Regions from separate parts of the Mus musculus genome. Here regions 1, 2 and 4 are each reported to be linked to region 3. The links are microRNA targets in miRTarBase. Many come from high-throughput screens and were not tested one by one. Region 3 holds a microRNA gene; each other region holds the end of a gene's coding sequence.
The links. Region 3 holds the annotated microRNA mmu-miR-295-3p (AAAGUGCUACUACUUUUGAGUCU, at 3,633-3,655, opposite strand). A microRNA usually pairs through its seed, bases 2 to 8, with sites in the 3' UTR of a target mRNA and lowers its output. Matches are read on the target gene's strand: a 7mer-m8 pairs with bases 2 to 8, a 7mer-A1 pairs with bases 2 to 7 and ends in A, and an 8mer does both.

Region 1: the mRNA of Mau2 is a reported target of mmu-miR-295-3p. Seed matches in the 3' UTR shown: 7mer-m8 at 4,827-4,833.
Region 2: the mRNA of Nol10 is a reported target of mmu-miR-295-3p. Seed matches in the 3' UTR shown: 7mer-m8 at 3,736-3,742.
Region 4: miRTarBase lists Hecw1 as a target of mmu-miR-295-3p. Seed matches in the 3' UTR shown: 7mer-m8 at 4,297-4,303.

The regions. Positions count from the first base shown.
Region 1 is chr8:70,014,162-70,022,152 of GRCm38, reverse strand. Mau2 (MAU2 sister chromatid cohesion factor) reads left to right here. Exons shown (of 19, transcript NM_001376946.1): 16 at 1-17; 17 at 1,643-1,733; 18 at 2,279-2,406; 19 at 2,493-7,626. The coding sequence ends at 2,567. Among named protein-coding and RNA genes, the nearest start is that of Mau2, 25 kb to the left of the region's middle.
Region 2 is chr12:17,425,863-17,433,853 of GRCm38, forward strand. It overlaps Nol10 (nucleolar protein 10), which reads left to right. Exons shown (of 21, transcript NM_001008421.1): 21 at 3,253-4,233. The coding sequence ends at 3,372. Among named protein-coding and RNA genes, the nearest start is that of Gm36752, 6.7 kb to the right of the region's middle.
Region 3 is chr7:3,217,224-3,224,469 of GRCm38, reverse strand. Mir295 (microRNA 295) reads right to left here and starts at 3,697; the gene lies at 3,629-3,697. It overlaps Nlrp12 (NLR family, pyrin domain containing 12), which reads left to right. Exons shown (of 10, transcript NM_001033431.1): 10 at 1,910-2,960. The coding sequence ends at 1,997. It overlaps D7Ertd143e (DNA segment, Chr 7, ERATO Doi 143, expressed), which reads right to left and starts at 5,686. Exons shown (of 1, transcript NR_028425.1): 1 at 3,455-5,686. Mir291b (microRNA 291b) reads right to left here and starts at 4,988; the gene lies at 4,910-4,988. It also overlaps Mir293, Mir294, Mir290a, Mir290b, Mir291a and Mir292, and 1 more gene.
Region 4 is chr13:14,224,464-14,232,454 of GRCm38, reverse strand. It overlaps Hecw1 (HECT, C2 and WW domain containing E3 ubiquitin protein ligase 1), which reads left to right. Exons shown (of 29, transcript NM_001081348.3): 29 at 1,695-6,017. The coding sequence ends at 1,806. Among named protein-coding and RNA genes, the nearest start is that of Gm26129, 140 kb to the right of the region's middle.

The DNA of each region.
Region 1 (7,991 bases), not on the chromosome of region 3:
TGTTGGGAAATCACAGGGTGAGTCCCTACCTAGCCTGTGCACCTATCTAGCTCGAGACCTGAGGAGCAGCACCGTGGAGCATGGTATTTCCTGTCCTGGAACCCAGGGTGTGGAAGGCATGGGGTCCTGGGTCCTGGGTCCTGGGATTCCCTTCCAGGATATATGTGTCGGGCTCACAAGCCTTGGAACTAAGAGACAGCTGCATCCTGCCATGTTCCTTGTAGGCTTCTCTGCATACCATCCCTTGGGAATCCATGGCCCTGTGGGACTGTCTCAGAAACTTAGATGAGACTGGCAATGTCAAACCCTCCTGTGTCTGTGGCACCATCAAGCACGTGACTTTACAAGACTTTTTTACTTGAAATTACTATAAAATGTAGTGAGGGTAACTTGGCCATGGAGAGCAGGGAGTGGCCTTCATGTTCCTAGTGCTGTGGCCTGCTGATTGGGCAAGACTGGTTGGTTACTCTGTGGAACTCTGGTGTGGTGTGCTTTGGAGGAGCACTTAGAGTAGCAATGTGGGCCAGAAGCCTGCTTGTCCAGCAGTGTTTCCCACTCAATGGCTTTCTGTAAAATACTCCCTTTGCCTGTGTTAGCCGAACTAGGGAGCTAGCAGGGCCTGTGAGGTCAGGGCAGTCAGAGTGAGCCTGGTGGTGAGCAGCAGGGACAGAGAGCAGGGAGGGTTGCTCTCTGTTTGGTTGTGGCTGGTGGAGGTTAAGGCCTGAATAACCCAACTGAGCTGCATTTGGTTAGGTTGTTTTCCATTAACCTGTACCTAGAACTGAAATCTGGTTTGAGGCTTTTAAATTTTTGTTATTCGTTCAATATTTGTTATTTGGGTATTTCCCAATTTACTTATTTTATGTGTGAATGTTTTACCTGAATGTATGCATATGTACCATGTGTGGGCCTGGTGTCCACAGAGGTCAAAAGCAGGGGTCAGATTCCCTGGTTCAGGAATTAGACAATTGTGAGCTGCCATGTGGGTACTAAAAACTGAACCTGAGGACTCTGCAAGGACAGTGAGTGCTCTCAACCTCTGTCACAGAAAGTACCCAGACCCACAGGCTGGGGAGGTAGAGCAGGTCAGCTGAGCATGGTTTGCACTTCAGAACTCCCTTGGGTTTCTCAGTGTGAGGTCAGAAACAGGAAGCTGCTCTCCAGGACTCCCCTAGCCTCATCGTGAGAACGCTGGGCACCTAGGTCAGCAGCTCAGCACACACAGAATCTAAACTTACTAAGAGGGAGTCACAGGTCTAAAGACCCCACATCCCCACAGTAGCCTACAAAAGCCAGCTCAAAGGAGCAAATCCTCCACACGCAGTCCATGCCCTTAGACAGGTTGCTACTTCAGGAGCCTTGGGACATTGCATGAATGTATAGTTTTAATCATTCTAGTTGTTGGACCAGAGCTGTCTTTTTCTCTACCTGGCAAGAGGCATGTATGGCCCATTCATTGCCTCACGTGCAGAGGAAGGCAAGAGTGCTCAGTTTGTTTTTCCCAAGGTGGACAAGAGTACTTTAGAGGACCAGTTTAGGTAGTCTCTGAGGGTGCAATAAGAGTCTGTCCAGGAGCAGCAGAACATAAAATGGGAGATGGAGTCTGTGGCCTCACTGTTAATTCTTAGCTTTTGATTGGCAGGAGAGTAACAACATGGTGGTACCTGCCATGCAGCTGGCCAGCAAGATCCCAGACATGTCTGTGCAGCTGTGGTCATCTGCCCTCCTGAGAGGTGAGAGTGAACAAAGCTGCCAGGCATGCTTGTAGGGCCCTGACATCATACAAGCAGCGGTGTATCTCCAGGGTTTTTTTTTATTTTTGTTTGTTTATTTATTGGAAACAGGGTCTAGCTGGCCCGGAACTCTGGGTAGACAAGGCTGGTCTTTTTTTTTTGGTTTTTCGAGACAGGGTTTCCCTGAATAGCTTTGGCTGTCCTGGACCTCACTCTGTAGACCAGGCTGGCCTCGAACTCAGAAATCTGCCTGCCTCTGCCTCCCAAGTGCTGGGATTAAAGGCATGTGCCACCACTGCCTGGCAACAAGGCTGATCTTGAAGTCACAAATTTACATTCCTTTGTCTGCCAAGTCACCACAGCTTGCTTTCAAGGGGATTTTTAAGAACTCTGGCAGGTGGAGACTGGGTTCCTGCTCAGGGCTTTGTGGATGATCCTCCTGCATCTCAAGATGGGTTTGGATGTCTGAGGGTAACTCTGTCTCCCCTGGGTTGGTATGAGTTTGGCCACCCAGGGATGAACAGTGACACCTGCCCCATCCTCAGACCTAAACAAGGCATGTGGGAACGCCATGGATGCCCATGAAGCCGCACAGATGCACCAGAACTTCTCACAGCAGCTGCTGCAGGACCACATCGAGGCCTGTAGCCTCCCAGAGCACAACCTCATTACGGTATAAAGGGTGGGGAAACAGACATAGGGATACGGGCTCTGGATCTTCAGCTGGGAGGGGTTTACTCATGTGTGTTCTCCCCACAGTGGACAGATGGCCCACCCCCTGTGCAGTTCCAAGCTCAGAATGGACCCAACACCAGCCTGGCCAGCCTTCTGTGAGGCCTGTGTCCGCAACTTGGACCCAACACTGGAGCTCTCTGGGAACAAAACCACCAGGGTGCCCACCAGTCCCTCACCATTGTCCAGAGCTAAGTCCTAAGAGTGCTGAAGCCATCATCTGCCTCTGAGGGTGACAGCCAATTGCACCTGTTCCAGGACTCAGTGCCATCTATTGAAGGGACTGATGGCCTAATCTGTGTCTGGGTGTCACCTGAGAAGAACAGGGTGACAATGTGTGTAGGGGCATCATCTGAGTGCTCAACCGAACCTAAGTGCAGCTGCACAAAGTGGCCTCCAACCCAGGGCAAGCTGAGGGGAGAGTAATGGCTCTCACTTTCCTCGGTCTGCTGTTCTTCCAGTGTCCCTGCACTCAGGGACTTCTGAGGACCTGGAAGTCAGACTCTTAATCTGAGTGGTCCTCCAAGGTGACCCAGTGCAGGGGAGGAGTTTGGGAAGAGGTGTACATACGCAGTTGATGAGGCTGAGACTTCGTGTGCCCTTAAGAAGCTCCTTGCTCATATTCAGCAGCACGTCTTGGCCCAGCCTAAGCATCAGGCAGAAGTCCCATTGGACCTGAATGAGAGGGTTCCTTCCTGGCAGCTATTTAGCTTTCCCATGGAGGACAGTTATGGGACCAGCTCAGCTCCTCTTGGCTTGATAGCTGCCCTAAGGGTGACAATAATGGGGGGGTACGGGGCACAGTGGTTCCTGCCAGCTCATGGTATCTAGGCAGGTGCTCACCAAGCAATGTGAAGACCACTTCTCAGAGCTTTGGAAGCCATGACTGAAGGGACGAAGCTCCAAGACCTTCATGGACATCCTTTCTGAGCCATGTGGCAGAGACTGCCCATGGCCAGGTGCTCCCAACCCTTCTGTCTTCCTCTAGCCCTTGGGTCCCAGGGACCTACCCTCAATACCTGCATCACAGCCCTGCTTATTTATTTAAGCTTTTTTTTTTTTTTTTTGCTTCTAGGGCATTTTGTACATACAGCAATTCAAACAAGGACCTCTCGACTTGCCATCTGTCCTGATGTTAGAGTGCTTTTAGTGTCCATATCTCAGGCATGTGAAAACTAAGCACAGGGTCACGACAAACTCCATAGTCTATGTTGAGTTTCCACCTACATGACCCCACCACAGTGTCCAACAGCTAAAGATTGAGGGGAAATCCCAGATGGGCTAGCACAAAGAGGTATTATAACCCAGGAGTTACTAAGAGCCAGCCCTGAGCCAGGCTAACTGTAGCCCTATATGAGCCCTTAAGCCACAGGTGACACTCTGAGTGAAGGAAGGCATGTCATCTATTGAGAGGGTTGGTTTGTTTTCATAAACATGGGTGGCTTTGCCTGGTTTTAGCAGCCTTTTAATCGGGAACTGTAAGCTGAGATCTGTGAGAAGTCTGTTTGCTGGTCTCTCCCTTTAGGACCACTATTCCCCCAGTCTTTTCATTTCCCTCCCTCCAGCCTTGCCAGCAGCCCCTCTACTATAGACTGAAGCCCTGAGGCAGAGGCATAGCCCCTTCATCAACTCAGCCTGGTAGGAAGCTGGTCCACAGCCCCTTTTTCTGTTTGATTTTAGCTGGATATTGATTGCTTGTTTGTTGTTTTTTGCTTCTTTTGAAGACACTGGTGCCACGCCTCAGCCTCCAAGCACCTGGCTCTTAGATTTTGGCTGTGGGGTTTTGATTGGAAGGGGCAGTGTTTAGAGCTTTTGTTTCTTAAGATAGTATCTCTTGTTCATGGATGACCTTGAGCTCTTGATTCTCCTGCCTCCACCACCCTAGTCCTGGGATGATGGGCATGTGCCATAGTGCTGGCTTTACCTGGTGCTGCTAGCCTAGCATTCTGCCAGCTGAGCCATAGCTTTATCCTGTGATCCTATCTTGATGCAATATTTGGTTTGGACCTTCTGTGAAGGGTGTTATACCCTGCAGTTTCAGCATACAAGCCCCTAGACACGCTTGCTCCTGTACCCAGGTGCAACGCAGAAACCAGCTGGACATGGTGGCTCACACCTGTCACACCTGGAAGGCTAAGAACACTCCCAAGTTACATGCCAGTAAGGGTTACACAGTGAAATATGAATAACCCAGTAAAGGAGAGCCTGGTCCAGCCCTTGTGCTCCTGGGTAGGGAAGGCTCTTTGCTTTTCCATGGGTTAGTTGACTCTTGACTGCAGGTGAAATCCATATAAAATTAGACAGGTTTAAAAAAAAAACAAAACAAAAAAGCCGGGCGTGGTGGCGCACGCCTTTAATCCCAGCACTTGGGAGGCAGAGGCAGGTGAATTTCTGAGTTCAAGGCCAGCCTGGTCTACAGAGTGAGTTCCAGGACAGCCAGGGCTATACAGAGAAACCCTGTCTCAAAAAACAAAAAAAAAAATAATTAGACAGGTTTTACTGATAGGTGGTTGACTTAAATTTGACAGACTTTAACTGTCTATCCCTGGCTGATCTTGTATTGTAGCTGCTGTTCCCCAAATCTCACCCAAGGTTATATAGTGTGAGCTACCACTGTAGGATTAGACTGGGTTTGTTTGTTTGTTTTGCTTTTTGTGGCTTGGTTTCTGGATCTCCACTGGCTTACATAGGAAATTCTTACATTTCAACCCCAAGTTTCTGAGACCGTAGGTAGCACTCCACCATGCCATCTCTTCAGCCACTTGTTTGTAGTTTTGTACTTTGTTGGGGGTGGAACCAAGCTCTTGTGCACAGCAAACACACCTCTCAAACTGAACTATACTGCAGGTGTTCCTAAATTCAAGACCCCAGTGCTCAAGACTCAAGGGAGGAGCATCCACTGCCTTCGGTATGCCATTGTGTGCCTAAGCACTGACCTTTCCGAAAGGATTCAGAGTCCAGCTATGTGTCTCATCCCCCACACCTGGGCATCTCTGCCTTCCAGAGTCTGCTTAAGCTAGATTTCAGGTAGAGTCCACTCCTTCCTTTGTCAACTTGAAGGCTCTATCGTCAGAACAAGCCTGGTCCTACCTCACCAACCCTGGATGGTGGGGTTTGGAGCAAGTGAGGTAGATGAGTCCTGGGGCTTTGCTGGTTGTTACCTCCTATGACAGCAGGTGTCCCATCTGGAAAGTTGAGTCTGTCGTCAGCCTGTGCTAAGCTGGCTGGGCACACAAAGCTTCTCATGAGAGTGGTCTACCATCCCAAATAGCAAAAACGCCCCACAGCCAGGCAAGGTGGCATGTATCTGTGATCCCAGCAATGAAGAGGTAAAGATCAGGAGTTAAGGGTCATCCTCATGCTAGCCTGGGCTACAGGACCTTGTTTTTGAAAAAATAAAACAGGAGCTGGAGAAATGGGTCAGCAGTTTATAGAGGCCCAAGTTCAGTTCCCAGCACCCTTGTCAGGCAGCTAACAGCCCATCTGTAACTCCAGCTCTGGGGGTCTGACAACCCTCTTCTGGCATCTACACATACCTGAACACTTAGAGCATTTACAAATAATTAAAAAGAAAAAAAAATGTCAGGTAGGAGTTGGCAAGATGGTTCAGAGGGTAAAAAGAAAAGCCAGTCATGATGTTTTAGGTTTGTAATTCCAGCAATTGACATGGAGACAGGTGGTCTCTGAGGCTCACTGGCCAGTTAGCCTAAGCAAAGTAAATGGTACCTAAAAGAACACATAAGGTTCCCCTCTGGCCCTGACATGCTTTTGTACACATGAACATGCACAAAAAACCTGAGTGTCAACCAGCTCTAAAGATTTTTGATCTTCAAGATGAATCCATTGAACCTAGGTGTTTAAATAGTGTATCAGAAGTGTAAACTAAGGCCATAACTGCTCCAAAGTATGGTTGAAGGGAAGGTTTTTGTTGTAGATAATAAGGGAGAGTGCAGCCAGAGGCATCTGGAAGAGTCCAGAACAGGGAGAAAGAGAAGTAGATGGGACATGGCCAGCAGACTGGCTTTGTCCATGAGATGAGTGGGTCGAGGAAGAGGAGATGATCAAGAGAGGAAGACCAAAGATGACCAAGCACACAAATACTCAAAAGTGACAGGTTTATAAGGGACTAAGATGCTAGGGAGGGAAGCCCATGTGCAAGAGAAGGGTAGGGGTGGGTGGGAGAGACATGGGCAATTAGAACCCAGGAAACCTGAAGCACAGAACTCACTAAGAAGCAGCACAGATTTGTCCTCACTTTCTTTTGGGTCTGGCAGGCAGAGTGCCATTTGGCTTTAATCCCTACACTCAAAGGCAGGCAGAACAGTGATTTGGAGGCTAGCCTGGTCTACATAGTTGCAGGTGAGTCAGAAACCCTATTCCCTAAAACAACAACAACAAAAGAGGGGGCAGGGGTCTGTTCTGAATGTCACCCAAGGCTAGGTTCCCCACTGTGGTGAAGTGCACTCTGGCCATCCTCCTCTGGGTGTTCTCCCATGAGGCCTGGGATATTCTACATTGGCCACCAGAGGGTCAGAACAAACCCAGGAGTCCAGGACAGCTAGGCATGTCCCTACTAAATAGAGACACTGGAGGCCTCATCCTGGAGTCCGAGTAGCCAGACTGAAGGGTTAGAAAGGCACAGAATTGAAGTGTTTAAACTGATCCACTTGTAACTCCAGTACCCATGGAGCCAATGTTCTGGTGTCTATGGGTATGCTTGTGGTACACAGACATACATGTGAATAAAACATACATACATGCACACATACATACACTTTTTCGAAGCAGTGTGAAGTTTCTTTGGGAAGCAAGTTGTGTCTGATGGTATGTTCTGGGTCAGACATGTGAAGGAGTGTTTTCCTGAAGGGGACACAGGTGAAAGGATGTTTTGCTAAAGCAAATATGAAAGGACGCATGGAGGTAGGGAGCCAACAGACCATGGACTATGCTGGATGGTATCAGTACACTTTGCTATTCCTTAAACATCGTTTGTTGTGACTTCATAACCAAGAATATTCTGGTGATGTTCTGGTGGCTTCTGTTTCCTCAGACTTGAGCTGATTGATGTCAGCTGGTACAGACTCCTATGGAGTTTTGCTGAGGTACCAACCATGGGAGAGCACAAGATGTTTGGAGAGAGAATAAAAATGACTCAACTGGACAGTGACTGGAGTTCGGGAGGTGGGGCTTGCATAGCTAGCTTTGCAACACTTTGTTGGTCTCATGCTTCTTTGATCTTAACTTTGTTGAGAGGCACAGCAGAGAACCTTTGGTATCCCTGCTGTTCCTGGTCACTCTTACTGACTCCTGCCAGTTCAGCTGAGGACTGGCTATTTCTGCTAGGCTGTGCCACCACTGCTGATTCATGTTTGCAATCTTGATTCTACTGAACTGGACTGCTGGTATGTATCCTGACAAGCAGAAGGGATTTGCTCCAAAGAACTATTTCTAAACAGGTCCACTTCCCTGATATCCTAATAACCTTTCCTTTCTACTACCTCTGGTGGGCTAGAAGGAAGGTTAAAG
Region 2 (7,991 bases), not on the chromosome of region 3:
ATGAGCAGAGTATGACTTGTCAACACAAGGCTTATTGTGTAACAGGGCTTTTTGTTAGCTTTGTTATCTGTAATCTATAAGGGGCAAGTTTGTGTCACCTTTGAAACAGGATCCATCTCTAGGAACAGATCCACAGTTTCTCTGTGTGGCTCTGCCCGACAGACCGCAGGGCAGCACTGCTCCTATTCCATAACCATAGCCCCTGTAGCCCGGTGAGGCAGGCACAAGCCTGAGCCGTCTGAGCTGCTCACTGGTCAGTTCTTTCCGTGAAGTTGGAAAACTCGACAGAAAAGGGTCACTCCCTCATGCTCTCTTTTCTTTTTCTCTCCTACCGCTTACTAGCGGTTCCCCAGGCCAATGCACATGCAGGTAACACTACTGCTGAACTCCATCCCCACACTCAACAAGCCAATCAGTGCTTTCTAGTATGTTCAGTAGATCTGTAACCGTCCCACTCGAAGCTTTTGTCTCAGAGCTGGGGAGATAGCTCAGTGGGAGGATGCTGGTCACAGGCCTGGCTCTGGCAGTGAGAAGACGCAGTCATTTCCACGCCACAGAACTTTCAAGTCAGAATGCACAAAGTTGAATGTCATTTTGTAAATTTGTAGTAAAATGAAAAGATGGGGAGATACCCTGAGACTTGCTTGAAGTGACATCAGAGCTGAATCAACTGTAGGCTTCAGAACCCTTTGGGAGAATATGCTATGTCAATTAATGCTTGATTTATGAGTTTTATTACTTGATTGGCATGCTCTTAACTATTTAGTATATCACTGTTAAATATATATTTAGAAACATGTTTGTGTATTTGTTTATAGACGTTTCCCTTTGCTCTATGTTTATTGTATATGATACACTGAGGCAAAATCGTGGAGTTGCCCAGGATGTCTGTAGGTGCTTTCTACAGTGCCAGTAGAATTCACAGGGAGAATGTGTGTATGTCTCCACAGCTAGCGTCTGTCCTCTCCCCTGCCCCACGAGGGCTGTAGGCTGCAGCTGCACAGGAACAAGGAGAAAGAGGAAAGCTGACTTGGAAAAGAGCTAATTGCCCTGTAAATCTTGATGAGTGGGTGACACAGTGGCATGGTCTCCCAGCGCAGCCTTGGGGAGAGAGGCTAATGATAGACCTTGTGTGTGGGGAGCTTTGTCCACAGAACAATAGAGGCCTCTTCCCAGCTCCTCTGGCAGCTCTTGGCCTGGAGAAGGCTGAGAAGCTGTCCAGAGCTGCCCACAGTCCTGCTTCATACTGTAACAACAGGCCCACACTCCAAAAATCCTTAGAGCTCCCAGCATTCTGTCTATCTGGATTCAGCACATCTAAAGACATGCATTTTAGCTGGGCAGTGGTGGCACACGCCTTTAATCCCAACACTTGGGAGGCAGAGACAGGTGGATCTCTGAGTTTGAGGCCAGCCTGGTCTACAGAGTGAGTTCCAGAATAGCCAGGGCTACACAGAGAAACCCTGTCTTGAAAAACAAAACAAACAAAAAACAAGACATGCATTTTAGAAGCCAGACCTGGTAGTGCATACCCACAACCCTAATCTGCTCTTGGGGCTGAAGCAGGAAGATGATGAGTGTGAAGGTAGTCTAGCGATGCAGACACTGTGGAGGGTGGGGAGGATTAAGGGGAACTTATTAATATGTAGGGCAGAATATGCTCCCCCCTCTTCTGCCCCTGCCCCCCCCCCAAGTTCTCACTGAAACAAACGCAGAGCCTCATTCATCAGAATTAAATAGTTGTGCTAACTCTGTGAGGGTCTTGATGATGTGCAGTTTAGTCTCCAGGGCAGTGTAGTCCCTAGGTGCCAGAGTCTCCCTGTTAACACAGGAAACCAGTGCAGTGCTCTGACTGGCTGCGAGGCTCAGCCCATTCTCTCTGCTAAGGAAATAGGGCAAATGACACATTTACCAAATTAGCCCAAAGTAAGTGCTCTGGTGGAGGAAGTGCCTGTGAGCTCATGGCAAAGAGTCTAAGCAGTGTGTTAGGAAGCAGAGGCCTGACATACAGTATTTTCTATATATTTGTGTGTGTCCGTGCATGGGTGCCATGTCATGCATGTGGAGGTTAGAGGGCAACTTGAGTTAGTTATTTCTCTCTTCTACCATTTGGCCCCCCCAGGTGATCAATTTCAGATCACCAGGCTTGGTGGCAGATACCTTCACCTACTGAGCCACCTCACCAGCCTGACGTAATGTTGACCATAGGAGTGAACCAGGAAGATGTGGTTACATCTCCATCCCCTACTCCACCCAGTGAGAAAGGGACCCTGGAATTGCAGAGGGAGGCTGCCACCTGAATCGGAAGGGCATACTGGGCAGGGTTTATTTTGAAAATGCACAGGATATATTGGTCATCAGAAATGGACCTGGAGTAATATAGGAACCCAAGCTACCAGAATGCAGAGATGGGCCCTTTGTGGGCTCACCATATCGTCCCACACCCTCTCTTTAAACTCAGATGGTTTTTTCAAGAGGGAAACACTGGTGAATATCTATCTGCATTTTATCCAAGTGTGCTAAAGCTCCAAGTGCCAACAGCAAGTATTGGTATGGATTTCAGACTCCTTAGCTCCTCTATTCAGGAGGTTCTGCACTGATTGTCTGCTGAGAGTGGGGGTGCCACTGGAAAGAAAGTGGGATCTGGGAGCATTGCCACCTCTCAAGCAAATGAAGATAGAAAACTCATGTGGAGACCATCCCTGCCAGACTGCCAGGGGTCAATAATAGCAAGTCTGTTCTTCCCCTCCTTCCCTTCCTCTCCCCTCTTTCTCTCTCCCTCCCTAGCATCCAAAAGCTCTTTGGAGCCAGCCCTAATGAGTTATCTAATCAGGTGTAGGTCATAATGCACTTTAATATGTGTGTGATAAAAAACACGTTTGATATGCATTTGATAAAATGCAACATTTTTTGTTTGTCTTTAAGTCTGTGAATGAATTCAGAGTTTCAGTGTGCAAGCAGAAGTAGGCATGAGTCCTCTTAGAGCATCCCGGTGTGCGGACACTTCCCGGTGTGCGGACAGACACTTCCCGGTGTGTGGACAGACACTTCCCGGTGTGTGTGTTCTTTTTGCCCAGGGATTCAGAATTTCTCCTTTGACAGTGAAAATTGTTCTTTGTCCAACTCCTGCCGCCACCAGGACGTGATGCTGAGCTGCACAGTGTTGGTCGCAGGACTGTGTGTCTGGCAGCCTTTGCTCCTCCCTGAGGGTTATAGCAGACCCTTTCCTCTACTCACCTCACTTTCTTTTAGTCTGAACAGCAAAAGAAGCAACAGGAGGCTGAAAAACTGCATCGTCAGGAAAGGAAAAATCTGCGCAGGTCGGCCAGCCACCTGAGGTCCAGACCCAGAAGAGGCCGGCCCTTTCACTGACCAAAGAAATGTGCCCACGAGCAACTAGACGCTGTGCTTCTCCCCATGGATTCTCACAAGGGCATCACACCCAGGCTCCGTGTAGATGTGTGTGCATGGTGCTGGTGGTCTGACTGGCCCACTACCCACCTGGAGAAGTCCCTGGCCCTGGGTGCTTTTTCCAAGTGGCTGCCCCTTTCTCTCTCCCCCTCCCCCGCCCCCCTTAAATCTTGTCTTCTCCCCTGCTGATGATCAGGCATCATTTCAGATATTGGAAAGGCCTCCATGAAGTGAAAAGTTCACCCTCTACTGGAAACAGGACATTATCATGCTGTAAGAATGGCTTGGGTTAGCCCAGCCGTGGTGGCGCACGCCTTTGATCCCAGCACTTGGGAGGCAGAGGCAGGCGGATTTCTGAGTTCGAGGCCAGCCTGGTCTACAGAGTGAGTTCCAGGACAGCCAGAGCTACACAGAGAAAACCTGTCTGGAACCCCCCCCCCCCAAAAAAAAGAATGGTTTGGGGTTTTTTGTTTTGTTTTGTTTTGTTTTTTTGTCATTTGTTTATTTGAGACTTGAGTCAGGGTTTCTCCGTGTAGCTCTGGGTGTCCTGGAATTCAATCTGTGGCCTTGAACTCATAGAGATCCACTTGCCTCTGCCTCCTGAGTGCTGAAGTTAAAGGGATGCACCACCAGGCCCAGCCAGAGTGTCTGTCCCCACTGTCTTCTGCCCCTCAGGACTGAGTCACATGATGACTGCTGAGTGGCCCTGTTTATGTGCATGAGTATGTTGGCAGGCTGACTGGCTTGCTTATATTCCTTTGTATAGTTTTTAAGCTATTTTTATATCAAGGGTATAAATTAATAAATAATAAGTGAACGCTACTGGCTATTTGTTTAGCTTATCACAAAATTACGTAGTTATTTTCTGATGAAGTACTATTTGATACAGGCAGCGCCTATAAAAGGAGATGCTTTTCTTTGGACATTTTCTCTGAGGAAGACTCCTGCCTGTGGAAATTTAAAATTCACTTTAGCTTCCATACTTTGGAGTTTCTCATGTAAACAAATAGAATGGGAGCTCGTTAGGCTGTACCTATGGTGAGTCCACAAGGCAGGACACATTAGTTAGCAGTCAGTGTTGTTGGACCCTTGTCTCTTTAGCCTGTGATGTGTACTCAAGAACTTTCTGACTGTTGGTACATGAATCTGCACATGCGCATGCACGCACCCACGTACCCACGCGCACACACACTCCTACCTCTTTATTAACTATTAAGCAGATCCCTCCTGGGGCTGTGAGCCCCTGGTGCCCTCTCTTCCCTTTCTCAAAGTTTCCCATTTTAAAATTGTTGTGCATGCTGGTATCCCACTCTGTCATTTTTCTGTGTTTATATCAGTTGCTTTTGTACACCTATCACCAAAATAATCAATATGGACTTAAGGGATTCATCTTGGCTCTTAGTTTCAGAGGGTGTCAGGGTGTGCAGATGCTGTTCACATCACTACAGGCCAGGAAATGGAAACCCAGACAGGGCCTTAAAGGGCTTGTCTGAGCAACCTGTGGTTGACCTCTGCCAGCTAGCCTTCACCTCAAAGAACATCCCCACACATCCTAACTACTATCTGGGGACAGATGTTTAAGTTAGAGGCCTGTGGGAGACATTTCAGGCTCAAACCCTAACCTGTGATTGCTCGTTACCAGCACTAGGATGTGGCTTTGTCCAGTCCTGCCAGCAGCTGTCCTTCCCGGTGAGACTTAGGAGCTAGTGTGAGAAGTGTAGCACCAAAGCTGGGCACCAGGCCCTGGAGGACTGGGGTTCCTGAGTGATGTGTGCTCTTCTGCTCCAGATCCCTCTCAAAGCTTTAGTATCCCAATCCCAATGCCTAAATCTTCTGTTTCAAGTATTTTCATCAGTAACCTTTGAAGGAAGCAGACATGCTGGGAGGGGCAGGATTAACACAGGGCAGACAGCAGAAAATACAGGCCCAGGGGTGCGGGACTTAGAAGGGCTTCTGGGAAGAAGATTGAGTTCAGATCCTTTCCTCAGAATCCTCCCCTGGTTCTCTTCTCATCCAGTAACATCCTGAGTCCCTGAAGGACCCTGCCTGGCACAGACTCCTTTGTTTGCTGTCACCACACTGACCTTCCTCTTTCTAGAACATTCCGGGCATTCCCTCAGCTCCCCACGCTCCCCCAGGCCTCTCAAGTTACTTTCTCTCCTGTCTGGTCAATTCTGCCCCATTTACATTGTCACATCCCAGTGTCAGCATGTGTTTACAAATGGTACTCCATTTAATATGCTTTCAAAACGTCACCACGGGGACCACAGAGTCTTCTTGAGTGGAAGAAGAAAACCAAATACAGTAAATCATATCTGACCTATACATGAGTATCCATGCTCATATACTCATGCACACACATGTGCACACACACAAATAAGTATAGCATAAATTTAGAACCTTACTATGGAAAGTGTCGGGTACACACAAGAATGGATGGGGAACAGTCGAGTAGACCAGCATGCCCCAGCAGTGTGCAACGTGCTCACGGTGAGTTCTCAGCTAGCTTGTCCAGTGTCAGCTCCTGTTTCCAGAATGCCAACTCAATAAGGACTAGGGGGAATGTTTTAATCAGTATGTTTTGTTTGTAGCTGTGTATCTTAATCTCTCGAACAATGCCTACCACATCATGCAATGTTTATTTAAGCCGTTATGGGGTGCCCACCAGAGAAAACCACTCAGACGTAGTCCATAGCTGCCAATGGTGACTGCACTCAGGTCTTTGAGGCCCAGTACAGCACCAAGCTTTTAGCATAAGGGGTTTTTAAGGCAAAACCACATCCTGGTATCTCACTTGGCAGCTGCAGGGAAAGAGCTGTACAAGCAAGCAGTATAACAGAAGCCAAGGTAAATTAGCTGGAGCATCTTGACCTCTTAGAGTTGGTAATTATTTCCCACAGGATTCTCCATGGAGGAGAGCAAATTCTAGTTAAACCTAAAGTGGCCTCAGCAAGAAGACAAGCTAGAGGAACGCTGTGTTCTCCTGCCCTGTCACAAATGACTGAGTGGGATGGAATTGAACATTCAACTTTCTACTTTTTTTTTAATTAGGTATTTTCCTCATTTACATTTCCAATGCTATCCCAAAAGTCCCCCATACCCTCCCCCCACCCCCCTACCCACCCACTCCCACTTTTTGGCCCTGGCGTTCCCCTGTACTGGGGCATAGAAAGTTTGCAAGTCCAATGGGCCTCTCTTTCCAGTGATGGCCAACTAGGCCATCTTTTGATACATATGCAGCTAGAGACACGAGCTCTGGGGAACTGGTTCGTTCATAATGTTGTTCCACCTATAGGGTTGCAGATCTCTTTAGCTCCTTGGGTGCTTTCTCTAGCTCCTCCATTGGGGGCCCTGTGATCCGTCCAATAGCTGACTGTGAGCATCCACTTAGGTGTTTGCCAGGCACCAGCATAGCCTCACAAGAGACAGCTATATCAGGGTCCTAGCAGCACAATCTTGCTAGTGTATGCAATGGTGTCGGCTTTTGGAGGCTGATTATGGGATGGGTCCCCAGATATGGCAGTCTCTAGATGGTCCATCCTTTTGTCTCAGCTCCAAACTTTGTCTCTGTAACTCCTTCCATGGGTGTTTTGTTCCCAATTCTAAAAAGGGGCAAAGTGTCCACACTTTGGTCTTCGTTCTTCTTGAGTTTCATGTGTTTTGCAAATTGTAACTTATATCGTGGGTATCCTAAGTTTCTGGGCTAATATCCACTTATCAGTTCAACTTTCTACTTAATGTCAGACTTTAACCTTTATGCCTAAGAAGTGATTCCCACCTGAGCTTTCAGAGATGAGATGCAAAAAGATGAAATTGCAAAGGTTGACAGAGGGACAGGGAAAAGGAAGTTGAAAATATACGTTATAAATAAATAACCTTTAGGGGAAAGTTTAACATAAGGAAACAGAAATGGAACTTATGTGGTCAAGAGGGCATGAGAGAAGGGTCAGTGTGTGGGTGAGGGACTGGCTGGTGAGATGTCTCAATAGGTGAAGGTGCTTGCTAACAAGCCTGATGACCTGGGTTCAGGCTCTGAAATCCACATGGGAGAAAGAATTGACTCCCGTAAGATGTATTTGAGTGTGTGTGTGTGTGTGTGTGTCTGTCTGTGTGTGTGTGCTTCCACGTGTGCACACAACTCAAGTAAATGTTTTAGTAAAAACTTTTTGTAAAGAAGAAAACATGGCATTAGAGAAGTTGGTTCCTGATCTGTGTCTGTAAATGGATGGCGTGCCGCATACTTTGCAGTCAACTAAACACCACTAGGGTCATTTTCAGAGAGAACCTCAGTTGAGAAAGTGTCCAGCAGTGTCCAGTGAGTGGGCTTCCATAGAGGCTTGGCAGCCTGGAATGGGAGTTGCAGGAAGGTGGAGGCCTGCTGTGCTCCTGGGCTTCCTGACTAGTGAGATGCCCCAACACACACACATCAGATGGAAGAGGAAGTTCTCATCCTTTGATGATCCTTGCTCCCAGCCCAACCCAATAGGACTTCAAAGCTGACAGGTGGGAAGGAGTCCAGCTATGTACTTGAAGTAACCTTGAGTTTCTTTTAGATGTAGGCCAGAATGATGCATCCTAGA
Region 3 (7,246 bases):
GTACATCCTGCCTTAGCCTGGAATTCAGTGCAATATGCATTACTTCTTTTTTCCTATTTTTATTTTTCTAATTTTTTTAATTTTTTTATTTTATTTTTTATTTTTGTTTTTTCAAGACAGGGTTTCTCTGTGTAGTCCTGGCTGTCCTGGAACTCTCTATATAAAAATTTTTAAAGATTTATTTATTTTATGTATATGAGTACACTGTAGCTGTGCAGATGGTTGTGAGCCATCATGTCGTATGCTGGGAATTGAATTCAGGACCTCTACTCACTCCAGCCCCAACAGTGTAGCTGTCTTCAGACACACCATAAGAGAGCGTCAGATCTCATTACAGGTGGTTTTGAGCCACCATGTGGTTGCTGGGATTTGAACTCAAGACCTTCCGCAAAGCAGTCAGTGCTCTTAACCAGCTGAGCCATCTCTCACAGCCCGTATTTTTTCCTTTTTTTTTTTTTTTTTCGAGACAGGGTTTCTCTGTGTAGCCCTGGCTGTCCTGGAACTCACTCTGCAGACCAGGCTGGCCTCGAACTCAGAAATCCACCTGCCTCTGCCTCCCCGGTGCTGGGATTAAAGGCATGGGCCACCATGCCCAGGGAAAGATTTATTTTTATTATGAGTTCACTGTCACTGTCTTCAGACACCCCAGATGAGGGCATCAGATCCCATTACAGATGGTTGTGAGCCACCGTGTAGTTGGGAATTGAACTCAGGACCTCTGGAAGAGCAGTGCTTTTAACTCCTAAGCCATCTCTCCATCCTCTTCCTGTTCTTTCAGATGAGATCAAGTCTCAGCTGGAATCTGAAAGTTCTGAGTCTGTTACACACTTGATATGTTTTCCACACTAGGGTAGCTGCAGCTATAAATGAAGAGTGCAAGTAAGACTCTCTTAAGGCTCTTATTAAAGACTGAAGACACTTCAAACTGGGAATAAGGAGCTGAGCGTGGCTGGGAACCCAGCACTCCAGGCCAGCCAAGGCTGCTAAGAAACCCCGTCTCAAACAGGCAAACAAAAAATTGGGAGTGAGGGGCACTGTGCTTAAGTGCATTGGTTCTTGCAGAGGACCCTGCTCCCAGAACCCACTTAGTGGCTCACAACCACTTATAACTACAGATCCTAGGGATCCAATAACATCCTCTGACTTCCATTGGCACTGCATATAGGAGGATCAGGCATACATGTATGCAGAATACTGATATGAATAAAACAAAGGGCTGGTTAGAGGGCTCAGCAGGTGAAGCGTCTACCTTGATTACCTGAGTTCAGTCCTCATGACCCATGAGTAGGAGAGAACACATACAGAAAACTCATCTCTGTCTCGCTGACACATCATGGCATACAGTCAACAAAGAAAACCTAGGAGTATGGATCCCAGCTTCAGAGGAGGGTCCCAAGTTCAAGGACAGCCTGGGCAACTTAGTGAGATCCTATCTTAAAAGATGAGCTAGGAAGATGGCTCAGCAGGAAAGCACTCAAGTGTACACATGTACTAACCCTACAAGTATTTTAAAAATTTGCATTTGTTATGTTCCGGAATCCCAGGGCATGTACTTGTAAAGTCTGAGGCCAAGTTTGAGGTGAGTGCTCCATGAGCTGTCTCAACTACCATGCACTTAAGATTATGTTAATTATTCATATATATACATATATATATACACATATATATATACATATATATACATACACACATATATATATATGCATGCGGGAACCACAGGCAAGAAGGGGATGTCCTATCCCTGGGAGCTGGATTTAAACGGGTTGAATGGTTGTATGTAGACTGACCTGTGCAAGAGCAGAAGCATACGATCAAGCCTCAGTAAATATTTAAAAAGGAGTAGGGAGACTCCCTTTTCACCAGGCTAAAATGCAGCATACTGTACTGATAGTCCCATGTTTGTCCCCAGGCTGTTTGGGATGGACCTGAATAAAAAGACTCACAGGAGGATGGCAGCACTTCGAGTCACAAAACCGTACCTGGATATTGGGTGTTGAGCAGTAAGGAGAACCAGAATGAAGCCGACCAGGATATTTATTCCCTCTGCTTTGAAGCACTTGAGGTGGAACTTTTAAAGGCCAGCCTCTGGTATATGGTGAGGTGGAGACAAGATCACTCAAGGTCATCCTGTTACATGGGACCGTCTTAGGTCAGGAGGCCCAGTAAGTGCAGGTTGACAAAATTGTTCTGCTTGAGACCTAAACACTCAACCTTTGATGGAGCTCACTGGGTTTGATGTAGATTCCACGCAGATAATTTAGGACGGGGATTGGCTGGTTAGCAGGTTTGAAGATCAGTAAAGACCACAGAAAAGGAAAAATATCCAGAGTCCTAGACATTTCCATGGACCAAGACTGCCATCTACTGGCCAAGTCACAGCATAAAGACCCACAAGGTAATTTTTCAAAAATTGTACTCAAGGGCTGGAGTGGTTAAGTCAGAGGTCCTGAGTTCAATTCCCAGCAACTACATGGTGGCTTGCAATCATCTGTAATGGGATCCAATGCCTTCTTTGGGTGAATCTGAAGATAGCTACAGAACACTTATAAATCTTTAAAAAGAAAAATTGTACTCACACCTGAATTTTATACAGCAGGGGGAAAAAAAAGTGGGCTGGGGCTAAAGGTATAAGGCACCTTACAAATGAGGCCTCAAAACCCAAGATTTGCACACCTGGTATAGTTGACAGCCAATGCTCCCATCCTATCCTGGGTTATTAGATTTTGCCCAGCTGTGGTGGTGTTCGCATTGAATCTCAACACTCCAGAAAACTGAGCAAGGTGGCCAAGGATGCAGAAATCATGGCTGTGCATGACTCACGACCTGACACTAGTGAGGCCTGGCAGACATCATTCCCAGCAACCACGTGGTAGCTCCACCACTTATAATGGGATAACTCCGCCCACTTCCAGTACAGTACCCAGAGATCTACCTTTATTATATTAAATTCAAACGCTATCCAGAAGTCCCCTATATCCTCCCCCACACCCTGCTCCCCAACCCACTACTTTTTAAAACCTGGCACCACCCCATTTCAGGTTAGCTTGTAACCATCCAGACACTCCACTAAAAGGAACTGGCCATGATGTATAGAAATGGAAAAGACTCACAGTATATAAACAAATGTGGGCTTAAATGTGGCTATGCTTAAAGGCACCTTTAAGCTAGTACAGGGTAATTCTTCCTTAAAACCATTGGAGGGGTGGCATGCCTAAATCCCAAGAGGCAAACAGGGGTGTCTCCCAAAAGGTGCCCTATTACTGTTGAAAACACTTCCAGCTATGTGTTGGTTTAACTTTTGGGGATTTTTTCAGACAGGGTTTTTCTGTATAGCCCAGGATTACCTTTAGTCTCAACCCCAGTGATTAAAAGGGTGCTTGCATGCTTGCAAGCTTTTTTTATCCCTAGGAACCATGGCGGGTGTTTTAAAACAAAAACTGAGAAAGCAGCAAAATCAAGAGAACAAGACTTTATTATTCATGTTTGGAGGCTGAGGGCACTGGTTGCTCCCATAGCACCTTGGTTCATTCAATAGCACCCACATGTCCCAGTTCCAGGAAACCTTCATCTGGATTCAGATACACACTACACATGCATGAAAGCAGCCGACCTGTGAATGGTGCCCACAGGAGAGACTCAAAAGTAGTAGCACTTTCTATGTACAGTCCAGAAGTGTGCCCCACATTTGAGTCTCACCAAGATGAGCAAGCAAGGAGTCTCTGGTTGATTGAAGTTCCGATGCTTTCTCCACATGGCAACACACAAAAGGGAAGCACTTTCCACTTAAAAGCTTAGATAGGGCCTCCATTTTGAGTATGGCTATATGGAATTTCGCTAGATCCAAACATGCCTACAACTGAACTGAAGATTAAGGATTATTCAATGCCAAAAGGATAAATGCAGCTATATGTAATACAGTACCTGTCAAATCTGGGTCACTTCCCGTGAGGTTCCGTGCACCTCAGCTTTTACTTTTGCCCCATTACAGACTGAATCATACCCACAGATGACACCCAAATGATGCAACACTTAGGCCAACTGCAGTTTCTCAATCGGCAACACTACAAACTCTGCGGCACTTCTTACAAAGAACAAAATGTCACACAGTTTGAGTACCACAGATTGAAGCATTTCCACAGGGACCTGCTGTGGTAATAAACCTGAAACTTTATAGTCAGTTCTTAGCCAGACCAGCCAGCCAGGCAGGTTGAAGGCAAGTAAGTACCCCAGGCTAGGCAGGATTACATTCAACTCAACTGGAACACCTGAAAAACAAAGAGAATCCATGAAGATTATGCTTAGGGCACACAATGTAACACCTGTAATCCCAGCCCTCATGAGCCTGGGCTATTGTAAAGCCAAAAGGTATTATGGGTATTATCTACCCGGCTGTCCACCAAGCTTGTTTGTGCTAGGAGCCAGGTTAAAGTCAGCTACAGCCAGCAGGTCCTAAAAATTCAATCCAACCATATCAAGACTCACAACCATCAGTCCAACTACAGTAGTCAAGCAAGATATAGCAACTACAGTAGTCAAGCAAGATATATAGGATCTTTTAATCCCAGGTGGATGGAGCTGAGGCCAGGCTGGTCTACAAGTGAGTTAGCTCCAGGACAGCCAGGGCTACAGAGAAACCCTGTTTGGAGAAAAAGGAAAAAAATTGAAAGAGGACTTAATATGGCGGCCACGTGAGATTTAAAAGTAGGCCTTTCTTTACTCAGACCTGAGGCTTAGACTCACCACCCCTGGACCTGGAGTGCCTCCTTCCACCCTGCCCTGCTTCCTCCTCACCTCCAGCCTTGCAGCTCGAGTAGCCAGTGGCAACGAATTCACCTCCAGCACACATACCTGTTTCAAGCAGGTAAGCGATTCCAGGTTGCAGCTGCAGCCGGCTTTTCAGACGCCATGTACACACAGAGACAAACAAAATGGATGCACTTTCCCGCCAAGCCGCGGAGAGGGCCTCCACTTTGATCGACACTGTATGTTCCAACTTCCAAGACCTGAGGCTCAGCTCCTCCGAGCGAGGCCCATGTGGGATCCCGGCTCCTTTATGAACGCGGAAAGCCTTTAGTACCGCATGCGCCCAAGTGTTCGGACTCAAACCCACATGTGACACCCACCTGCCCAGAAATGCAACCCCAGTGAAAACATGACCCACTAAAACTTAATTCTTAGTTCTTAGCCGTTTTGAGTTCTCAACCGGTGACACTCAAAACCTGGCGGCACTTTTCTTCCGATGAAAATCCAAAAGAGCCCCCAGTTTGAGTATCACAGGCTGGAGGTCAAGCTTAAGAACAATCTACAATGCACCTGGACTCACGACTGCCTTACATCCATCCGCGTCTCGTGGCACCCAACTGAACCGCCCTCTTTAGGATAGGACCCATTAAACTCCAAGCCTAAACCCCCACACAGGTTGTCCGCTCCTGTAAACCGATGCGTCAGATGCAAAGCTATGATGTTTTCCCCATGCAGTGGCACACAAAGTGGAAGCACTTTCTCATTCAGGCTCAAGAGAGGGCCTCCACTTTGATGGCCGCTACATAGGTGTAACAGCTCCAAGCAGCGACAGGACGCACATGGAGCCCCCAGGTACCCTACAACGACCACCTCAGTTACCGTCTACTGGGCAGGATGCCCATCCCTAGCCTTTCGCTATACTCAGTCTCATTCCTTTCTTCGAATCCGTACTCACCACGCTGCAGTTAACCCGGAACACGTGGCACCAGGGCTGGTAAATGTGCCAGATAGCCGTTTTCTCAACCGGCGGGGCTTAAAACTAGGCGGCACTTTTTAAAGAAAAAAAAAAGTGCCCCCATAGTTTGAGTACCGCAAGATGAGGCGGTCCAGACGTTAAAACATTTACCAGGAGGAAAGAACGTGGAGAACTTAAAATTCACTCCAACCTGAAGGAAACCTGGATGAAATCAAGGAAGAGTTAGTACATCGGTCTAACTCAAGGTATAGTGAAACTCAAAATTTCTACAATGAAACCACGTAGTTAATGAAATGTACTGCATAGACTCCCTAGACCTGCCCTCAGTAACTCCTAGCTTTGGTTTCTGGTCCCCAAACTTCACTCGCGCCCAGACTACTCACTTTCCCCACATAGGCTCGTTCCTCCCTTGAAATTATGTAGACCAAGTCAGAAAAAAAAGCCCAACTCTTTTTCCACACACATTAGTTCTAAATGTCTTCTTTGGAGACCAGACCAACCTCAGATGGGCCTGCCTCTGCCTCGGGATTAGTAAACCCAGCCAAACCGTGGGGGCGAGCGAGGAAGGCTGAGTTCGCGGCTAGCCTGCCTTTTAAAAAAGGGGCTCTAGTTTTTAAAAAGTAGAATGAAGATGGCCGTGATGACCTTTAATCTGGAGGCAGAGAGGCAGGCAGAAATGAGAGTTAAAGGCCAGCCTGGCTAGTCATCTCCAAAGTTGAAGCAGGAAGATCTCTCTTCTGGAAATCCTGGATCTACTTTCGCCTCTCTAAACCAGGTAGATTAAAACCACAGAACTGAAGGAAATAAAAAATCTGAAACTAAAAATATTACCTTTGCCTATGTGAGAAGCAGCACGCCGGAGGTATCCCTGAAGACCGCAGAGACCAGCATTCCCGATGTGGAGTAGAAGTCTCTGAGAGGCGTGGGGGAGGCTCTAGGTTCTTATATAGTCTGAAGGCTCATTGGCCCCCTGGACTGGGAGGCTCTGATACCCCTCCCCCACCCCGGAGAATCCTTACTCTACCACCCTGCTTCCTCTGAGCTGAGTTTCCCTGCGGCAGAGTGACCTTCACTGGTTTCTTCTCCCCCCCACCCCCCAGAGGAAACAGATTTCTTTGTTTGTTTCTAGAAGCAGCGCCTTTAATCCTATAGTTTTCTAGGCCGAGGCTGGAGGATCTTTGTTAGTTCAAGGCCAGCTTGGTCTACTATGGTGACTAGGCACGGGACTAGGCAGGGCTACATTCAGTATTAAGATAATAATAAAAATAAATAAAGGAAGAATGTGGGAGGTTCAGTTTATTCTTTCGTTTGAATTTTTTTTAAATCCAGAGTTTCAAATCCTCCCTCTTTTTTACCTTTCTTTCTTTCTTTCTTTCTTTCTTTCTTTCTTTCTTTCTTTCTTTCTTTCTTTCTTTCTTTCTTTCTTTCTTTCTTTCTTTCTTTCCCACACTGAATATGAAGGTCCAAGAACAATATGATAGAGTTAGTTTTCTCCTATGCTTAAATATGTTTTTTTTGGGGGGGAGG
Region 4 (7,991 bases), not on the chromosome of region 3:
GTCATTGCTTTTGTTACTAAAGAGACAGATTAAATGCAATGTACATATTTTCTCTAAATATATATTAATACTGTTAGCTCTTACTGTACTGCCTAATTATGTCAGCCACAATCCAATGGATTTTCTACTTTCTGCCTTTCTAAACACCAAGAAAATCATTATAATCATTGTCCTGCTCAATTCTTTGACTTTTTATTTAAAAATATTTTATAATAACTAAAATACTTCAGTTATATTTTTTGAAGTGATCTAGGTCTTCCTGATACTTAAGTAATTACAGAGCTCCGCTAATGTCTATTTGTTTTCATGTTTTTTCCCCAAATCAAGTCCTTCAAGCCTACAGTAAGATATTCTACTGTCTTGGGCAGGCACTTGGGGCTTGAAGAGGAAGAAGACAGGCAGGAAAGTGTGGTGTAGTGTGAACACGAGGATAAGGAGGGAGCTGTTGCCAAAAGCAAGATTGAATGCTGGATAGACAAACACCAACACCTTCTCCAGATTCTCCCCCAGCAGAAAACCCCATGTTCCTCCTTCTTTAATCCCTTTTCCTTTATCTCCCAAAGAAGCGGCACTATCCTGAATCCTGAGCCCACACACTCTAATTTCTGACACTCTATTCTAATACTCTAATTTGTCAGATCAAAGGTATAGGTTATAAACTCCCCAAAGGATCTCGCAATTCAAGCACCAACATCCTAAATAAAATTCTGAGTGTTTAGTTGTAGCCTATGGAGTGTTGTTGTTGTTCTGATTTTTTTTTGTTTTGTTTTAGCTTAGTGTCTTTTTCTGTGCTGGTTGATGTATAAACACAACTTCAACATACTGCTCACCCAACCTGGGAGGAAAAGGTATAAAATTAGCTTCCAGCTGTGCCAATACACTCTTTTTCCTGCTTTGTCAAAAGACCAGAATCAAGTTTCCATAGAAACAAAGAGTTCCTGGCAGGAAACAGATACCATGGAAAAATCTGTGTGGTTATACCTCCTCTGCTCGCCGCTGAATTATCCAGTGTTTCCTATACCTTGTATTATCCATGTAAGAAGAAAGACATAGCTAGTCTAGGACAGATTCTGGCAAGTATGAGCCACCAGAATGAAACCATTCTGAGCAAGGCTACATGGATGACAATGATGTGAAGACTCTCCCAGGCTTGCGGAAGGAGTGTCCCACATGCTCAGTGGTCCTTGGGTGTAGGCCATGTAAGCTTCAGTTGATGTGTGTTGCACTGGTATAGAGGAGTTAAACTTGTTTCCACAACACACCTGGCATGGACAACTGGATCTCAGGATAACAGAGTACCAGTAGCTCTTCCAAGTAGATACTTGTGGTTTAACAAGGCCTAGAACTCATGAGGGAAGTAAGGATGTCTTGGAATGATCCATTAGCACTAATAAAGTCTCCACCTCCTTCATATTATTTAAATTTCAAATTAGGCTAATAGCATAGACTTGACTGTTGGTTCTCTACTGTGCTTGTAGTATAGTGTAGTTTTATTTACAAATAACAATTAACTGTTTCTAGGTCTTCAATTTCCTAAACTTGTTGTATCTCAACAGCCATGCTTTGCCATTTGCAGTCTTTTTTGATTGACCAAAATCATTGTCTGGCTTACTTTTGATTTCCTCTTTTAAGTAATCAGTGTAACCAAAAGCAGTCCTTAAAATACCCTCACCAGTATTTTCTCCCCAACTCAGGGCACATACGTGCTTCAACCGATTGGATCTCCCACCATACCCTTCATATTCCATGTTGTATGAAAAGCTGTTAACAGCAGTAGAAGAAACCAGCACCTTTGGACTTGAGTGAAGACGTGGAGCCTTGCCTGGCATTGTCCTGAACAGTGACACCACCCTCTCTGGGATGACTTACTCCCTCCTTTGACTTTGGTATTCCATGATTTTTATTTCAAAGCAAATTAGAATTGGCAAAAGCTGTGCATGAAGAATTGCCTTCTTCTAAGATCTAATCTTCAGGCTTATCTCCTCTGTTTCCAATGAACTGCTAGCCTGTATGCAATACTACAAAACAGCTGTCTCAAGGTCTGTGTATACTTCCACATACCTCCATTCCTAACAATGAAATATGAGTGCAAGTTATGCTACACTTGACGAAATGGTAATAAATGTTTACTTCCATTTCTATCATTTAAAGATAATTTGAGCTGTAAGCATTCCATGCTTTTAAATGCCCATGTCTTCCAAACAGAACCTCCATTTTTCCTAATTTCTAGCAACTATTTCCAGACCTGGGAGCTGACTAATTTTTTCCTTTCTATCTCTACATTTCCTATTCATTCTATCCAAATGGACAGCCAAGGCCACACAGAAACGTTTTCTTCATTCAACTCATGATTCATAGTGGTATCAGCCCCATCAGCCAGAACTAACCTAGACATATGGTGCAAATATGAAACTTCCAGCAATTAACAACAGCAAGAAGGAAAAGGTTATCAGTAAATCCAAGGGTTATATGGACTATGAAATCAACTTGAGTTCAGAAAAGTGAGGTGGGGGATCTGCCCTGGTGAACCCTCACCACCCAAGAAGCACAAACTTGTGTACCATGTTCAAGGAGCAAATCCTAATTGCTGTAGATTGAAGGATGAGCCTTTACCTCTAATTTTGTCACCATAAAAAGTGATAAGGCAAACAGGAAAAAGGACAGGACATATGACATTTATTCCAATCGATGAATTTTGTTTAATCTATTCTCACGCACACATAGTCCAAATAAATCTCATGGCTTTTGTTGCAGCCAAGTTTATTTACGTGATAGGCCAAACTTTTGCTTCTTTTTAGCTTTGATACTTTTCTCATTCTTTTTTTTTTCCTTTCCTTTCCTTTTTTTAAATCATGGTGTTCAAATTCTGTCACATCTGATGTTCACAGACACCACATACAAAGCTGCAGAGCACGATGGTGCTTGTTAAGGATCACGGGCAATATAAACTTTTCCTTCATCCTTAGTGATTCTTCAAAGGCACGCTGACTTGTGTCCACAAAAAAAAAATCCATTTTTTTAAAGCATTCAGCAAAATATTTAAGAAAATGTGTTTTTAGAAAAACAATCACAGGCTCCACAGACAGCCTGGCATCTTAAGTACATTTGAGATAAATTTAACCATAATGGTCATTTGCTATTTTTTGTAACCATGTTATCCATGTTGTCTGAAATACGACATAAATGAAAGTGGTTTTTCTTCACTGGGAAAAAAAAAAGCTAAAGAGACCCAACTATTTAAATATTCATTGTTGTAGTCAACATATTAAAATAAAAGAACAAGTCTGAGAATGTAAAGCTAACTTAGGATGAAGCCATGCCTCGTGGCTCAGTACAGCAGTGTGTTTTGTTCCTGCACATTAAAATATTTTCTTAGTAAAAATTATTCACAATGCCAAGACACTCTGTGTTCCTGTGTTTCTTTGTTAAGCAAGAAGTATATATGATACAAACTTAGTTTTCTATTGCTATCAAAAATAAGTTTTACTAAAAAATGGGATGTACATTGTATGAAACACAGCTTGAGGGGTAAGATTTGGCCCATATTTCAGAATCTGAAAAATAAGTCCAATGGCGCTGTTATTTACTAATGAACTCGGAACAAAAGCACTGCTAAAGTCATTTTCACTAAATCTTTAACTCCTAGAATAGCATATTTAGAATTCATCTTATACATACATAAAAACCTCACAAAAAAATTCAACCATTCAAGTTTTTTACCACTGACTTGCCATACATTGAAAAGGAGAATGTTGTTCAAATGTAGGAAGCTGCTCCTGAAGAGCTTTACAATTTGCAGAAATGAGACAATCTATTAAATAGATTAATATATAGTCTACCAACATACAGAAGGAAGAAATTTTCTTAGAAATGACATGTGAATAAGAAACTCAGATAAATGCATTTTTAAATTAATTTTTAGTTATACCTCTACCCTTATGCAAGGTTCTACACAAATCCCAAGAGCAATAGCATTTCTAACATACTCGTTTTAATTATTTGAAGTTATTGCGATGTATTTCAATCATATTCACCTAACACTCTTCTCCCTAACTCCTTGTTCATTCACTCCCCAATATTCCATTCCTTCTCAGTGTCATGTCATTTTTTAATGACCCATTGAGTCCAATTTGTGCTGTTTGTCCATATCTTAAATTAGTATGAGGTCATCCCCTGGAAGATATAAATGTATCATTTTGTGTGTGTGTGTGTGTGTGTACATACACATATACATATTTGATTGTCATAGCCGGCCGCAGTGGTGCACCTTTATGGCATTAAAATGCCTTTAATCCCAGCACTTGGAAGGCAGAGGCAGGCAGCGCTCTGTGAGTTCAATGCCAATCTGGTCAACAGAGCAAATTCCAGATCATCCAGAGTTACCTAGTAAGACTCTAAAAAAAAAAAAAAAAAAGACAAAAGGAAAGAAAGAAAACTGACTCTTAGCAGCTATCGGCTGTCAATAGCTCCTCAGATAGGGCTGGGGACTTGTGAACCCCTCTTTATATACTAATAGTATTCTAGAAAAATTAAAAATGTCATTTATACTGACACCAAAGTTGCTGAGAGAATGTAAAGCTTGCTTTGCAGAGCCCAACACGTGACTTCAGCCTTTCATGGAAGAAGGGAAAACAAAGGGGAGAGGAGCTCAAAAGCCAGTCATGGATAGACACGTCCCACTTCATCCATGAGAACATTGAAATTATGTCTAATTCATTATATATGCATATGGACATATAACTATATATGTTTATATGTATATGTGTATACATTTACATGTAAGGAAAATGCTGTAGAAATAGTTTTTTATTGATTTCAATGGTTGGAGATAAATCACCTCAAATCATATAATTCTTTGGGTAACACAGATTTTTTTTTTGTGACCATATGTTATTCTTTGAATTTTTTTCTCCATAAAGTTAATTAGAAATTTATTACCTGTAAGTCATAACCTCCCTAAAACAAGATTTTTTTATATCTAGTTTTATGAGTATAATACAATACCTTTTGGGAGAAGACAAAAATATTTAAAAGATTTAAAAAAGTATGTTATAATTTGAAAAAGACAATAAGGTGTTATAATTTTATAGATAATACAAACATATTATTCAATAACATGAAGATGACAATCTTCCCAATAGAAACTGAGTCATCAAGATCAGAAGTACTCTAGAATACTGAGTTCTCTGTGACATCCCGTGTATATGAGTTCGAGAACACCCTGATGGTTTACTACCATCATTATTATAGCACAAACACTTCAGGAAAGGTAATGAAAATATTCAAATGCTTAATGAGATTTTGGCAAGCTTTCATTATGAAAGATTTAAATGCTTTTCCTGTTAATAATGAAGCTATATCATTCAACAGTAAGAATATTTGTATGGCAAGCCAGTGAGCTGAGTTTCCCACAAAATGTCTAACAATATTCAGTTTCATCAATAGTTCATGTATCAAGCCACATGTCTGAAATTTGGGTTCAGAAAATTTCTTAAGTTGCCACAAATGTTTTCCCAGTCAAGATGAAACACTTTCAAATGAAAGTAGTTAGAACTTTACATAACAAAATGTGGTGCTTTATTATTATTGTTGTCGTCGTTGTTATGATTATTATTATTATTACAATTATGTCTAACAGTGTTCATCACTAAAACTGCAATACTGTATCATAAATGTGCAGGATGACTATTCCAGCCATCACAAGGTCCAAAAGAGAAAGTGTTATTTTCCTGTTAATGACATGTAGTCCCTTTGTTCTAGTAGCTAAAAGGTGCCTAGAGGTAGTATATAGAGTAAATATTGTTCCGTTAGTCTATTTCCTGCAGCTTCCATTATCTAAGGAAATGTCCATAAGATTTTGTTTACAAGTCTTTGTTCTAGTCAATAACAGGAGACGTCATATTACTGGGCTGATTTTGCTTACATCTACAAAAGAAATGTTATGTGATACTCAGGCCTCGCTTTCTCTTACATCATACATCTTCAAGGAATGTCAATAAACTCACTTTGGTATGGCACTGAGTATGCTCCTTCTTGCAAAGAGAAGTCTATAGTAACAAACAAAATTCTAGATCAAGCCTGTGCTCCTGCTGACTGGTGTAAGGAATAAAACAACAAAAAAGGATCCCAGCTTCCCCAGCAAACAAACCTCAGAGGAAAATCAATATTGTTATGTTCAGAAACCCATGAGGAAAGGAGCTGATTTTGAAACCATGTACATTCCTTGTTTATGCATATTAGACCTCCATACAAACCATATGTGCCTCATTTCCTAAGTGTCCTTTATGTAGAGCAAGAAGACATTGATTTGTATGAAATCCTATCTGTTAAGAATTTCTATGAAAACTTCAGACATGGCCCTTGGAGGATTACCACTGAGTACAAATCACAAACACACCCCTAACCTCCCACACAAATCTCTCTCTCTCTCTTTCTCTCTCTCTCTCTCTCTCACACTCACACACACACCCACACACACACACCACCTGCAGCAGGTGGGTGAGCTGGCCTACAGGGCAGGAGAACAAGAGAACTGGCTCTGCCCCTCAGGAGCTGCAGCACTTGGGAGAGCAGGTTTTGCACCTTGCCTGGGCAGCACAATAGAGCTGGCCCTGGTGTTGAGGGTGATGGTGAGCCAGTCCTAAAGAGCATGATCATATGAGAGCTGTCCCTACCACATATCTGCCCTGAAGTGGCATGAGCATGAGAGATCTACTATCCCACACACACACACACACACACACACACACACACACACACAGTGCAATGAGGTGAGCTGGTCTGAGGTTAGGAAATCAGGGGAATTGGCCCCACTCCTCACCAGCTGCAGAGCCTAGCAGAATGGGCCCTGGTTGCATGTGTGTATGAGAACCATCCCTAGGCAAAGGACCCTGGTGATGTGGTTACAGGAGAGCTGGTGGTCTGACAAACTCAGCTTCTACCCAGGCCCAGATCCAGGTCCATCCCAACATCTCCAGGGCTTTATGTTGGCCCACCCCAACATCTACACTCATATATACTGCTAGAGGATATAAAGTACCTAGTCCTTTATACATGGATCTCTGTGACACAGGACAAAAACAGAATATCCAAGAGGAGTCCCAGTAAGGATCCAGAAATGATGGTATAGCAGAAGTCAGAGGACTTGACCCAGACCAATGACTCATTACAATGGACATTTGCAAATAAAGGTGGTTAGGCAAGAGGGTATAGTGTGTGACACACCATGACACACTGTAGCTTCTACAGTGAGACATTTTTGGTTTTTGTTTTTAGTTTTTGTTTTTGTTTGGGTTTTTTGTTGTTTTCTTTTGCGGGGGGGGGGGGTTGCAAGGATCTCTTCTTCCCTCTCCCCCATGAAAAGGACATTTTCAAAAACCCTTTTCATTGATTCTTTGTGAATTTCACACCATGCACCTCAATCCCACTCATCTTCCCATCTCAACAAAAGAATGGAAACAGGCAAACTCCGGAGACAGGAGGTTGGGGAACACTCTAGAATATACCAGACACCTGGGAGGTGAGAGACTCTCAGAACTCAAAGGTAGGGACCTAATGCCCTACAGAGGGGAGAAGGAACTTGTAGAGCCCACCTCGAGTAAAAAGACAGGGCATCAAGTGGAGGGATGGGGTTGTCATCCCACAGTCAAAGCTCTGACCCAGAATTGTTTGTCTGAAAGAACTGCAGGGACAAAAATGGAGAACAGCCCGAGGGAAAGGAAGTCCAGCAACAGGCCCAAATTGGGACCCAGCTCAAGGAGAGGTCCCAAGGCCTGATACTATTACTGATACTATGGTGTACTTACAAAAAGAAGCCTAGCATGACTGCCCCCCCAAAAGGCCAACAAGCAGCTGAAAGAGTCAGATGCAGATATTTACACCCAACCAATGGACAGAAGCCAGGGATCCCCGTGGTTGAATTAGGGAAAAGCTGGAAGAAGCTGACGAGGAGGGTGACCCTGTAGGAGAACCAGCAGTCTCAACTAACCTGG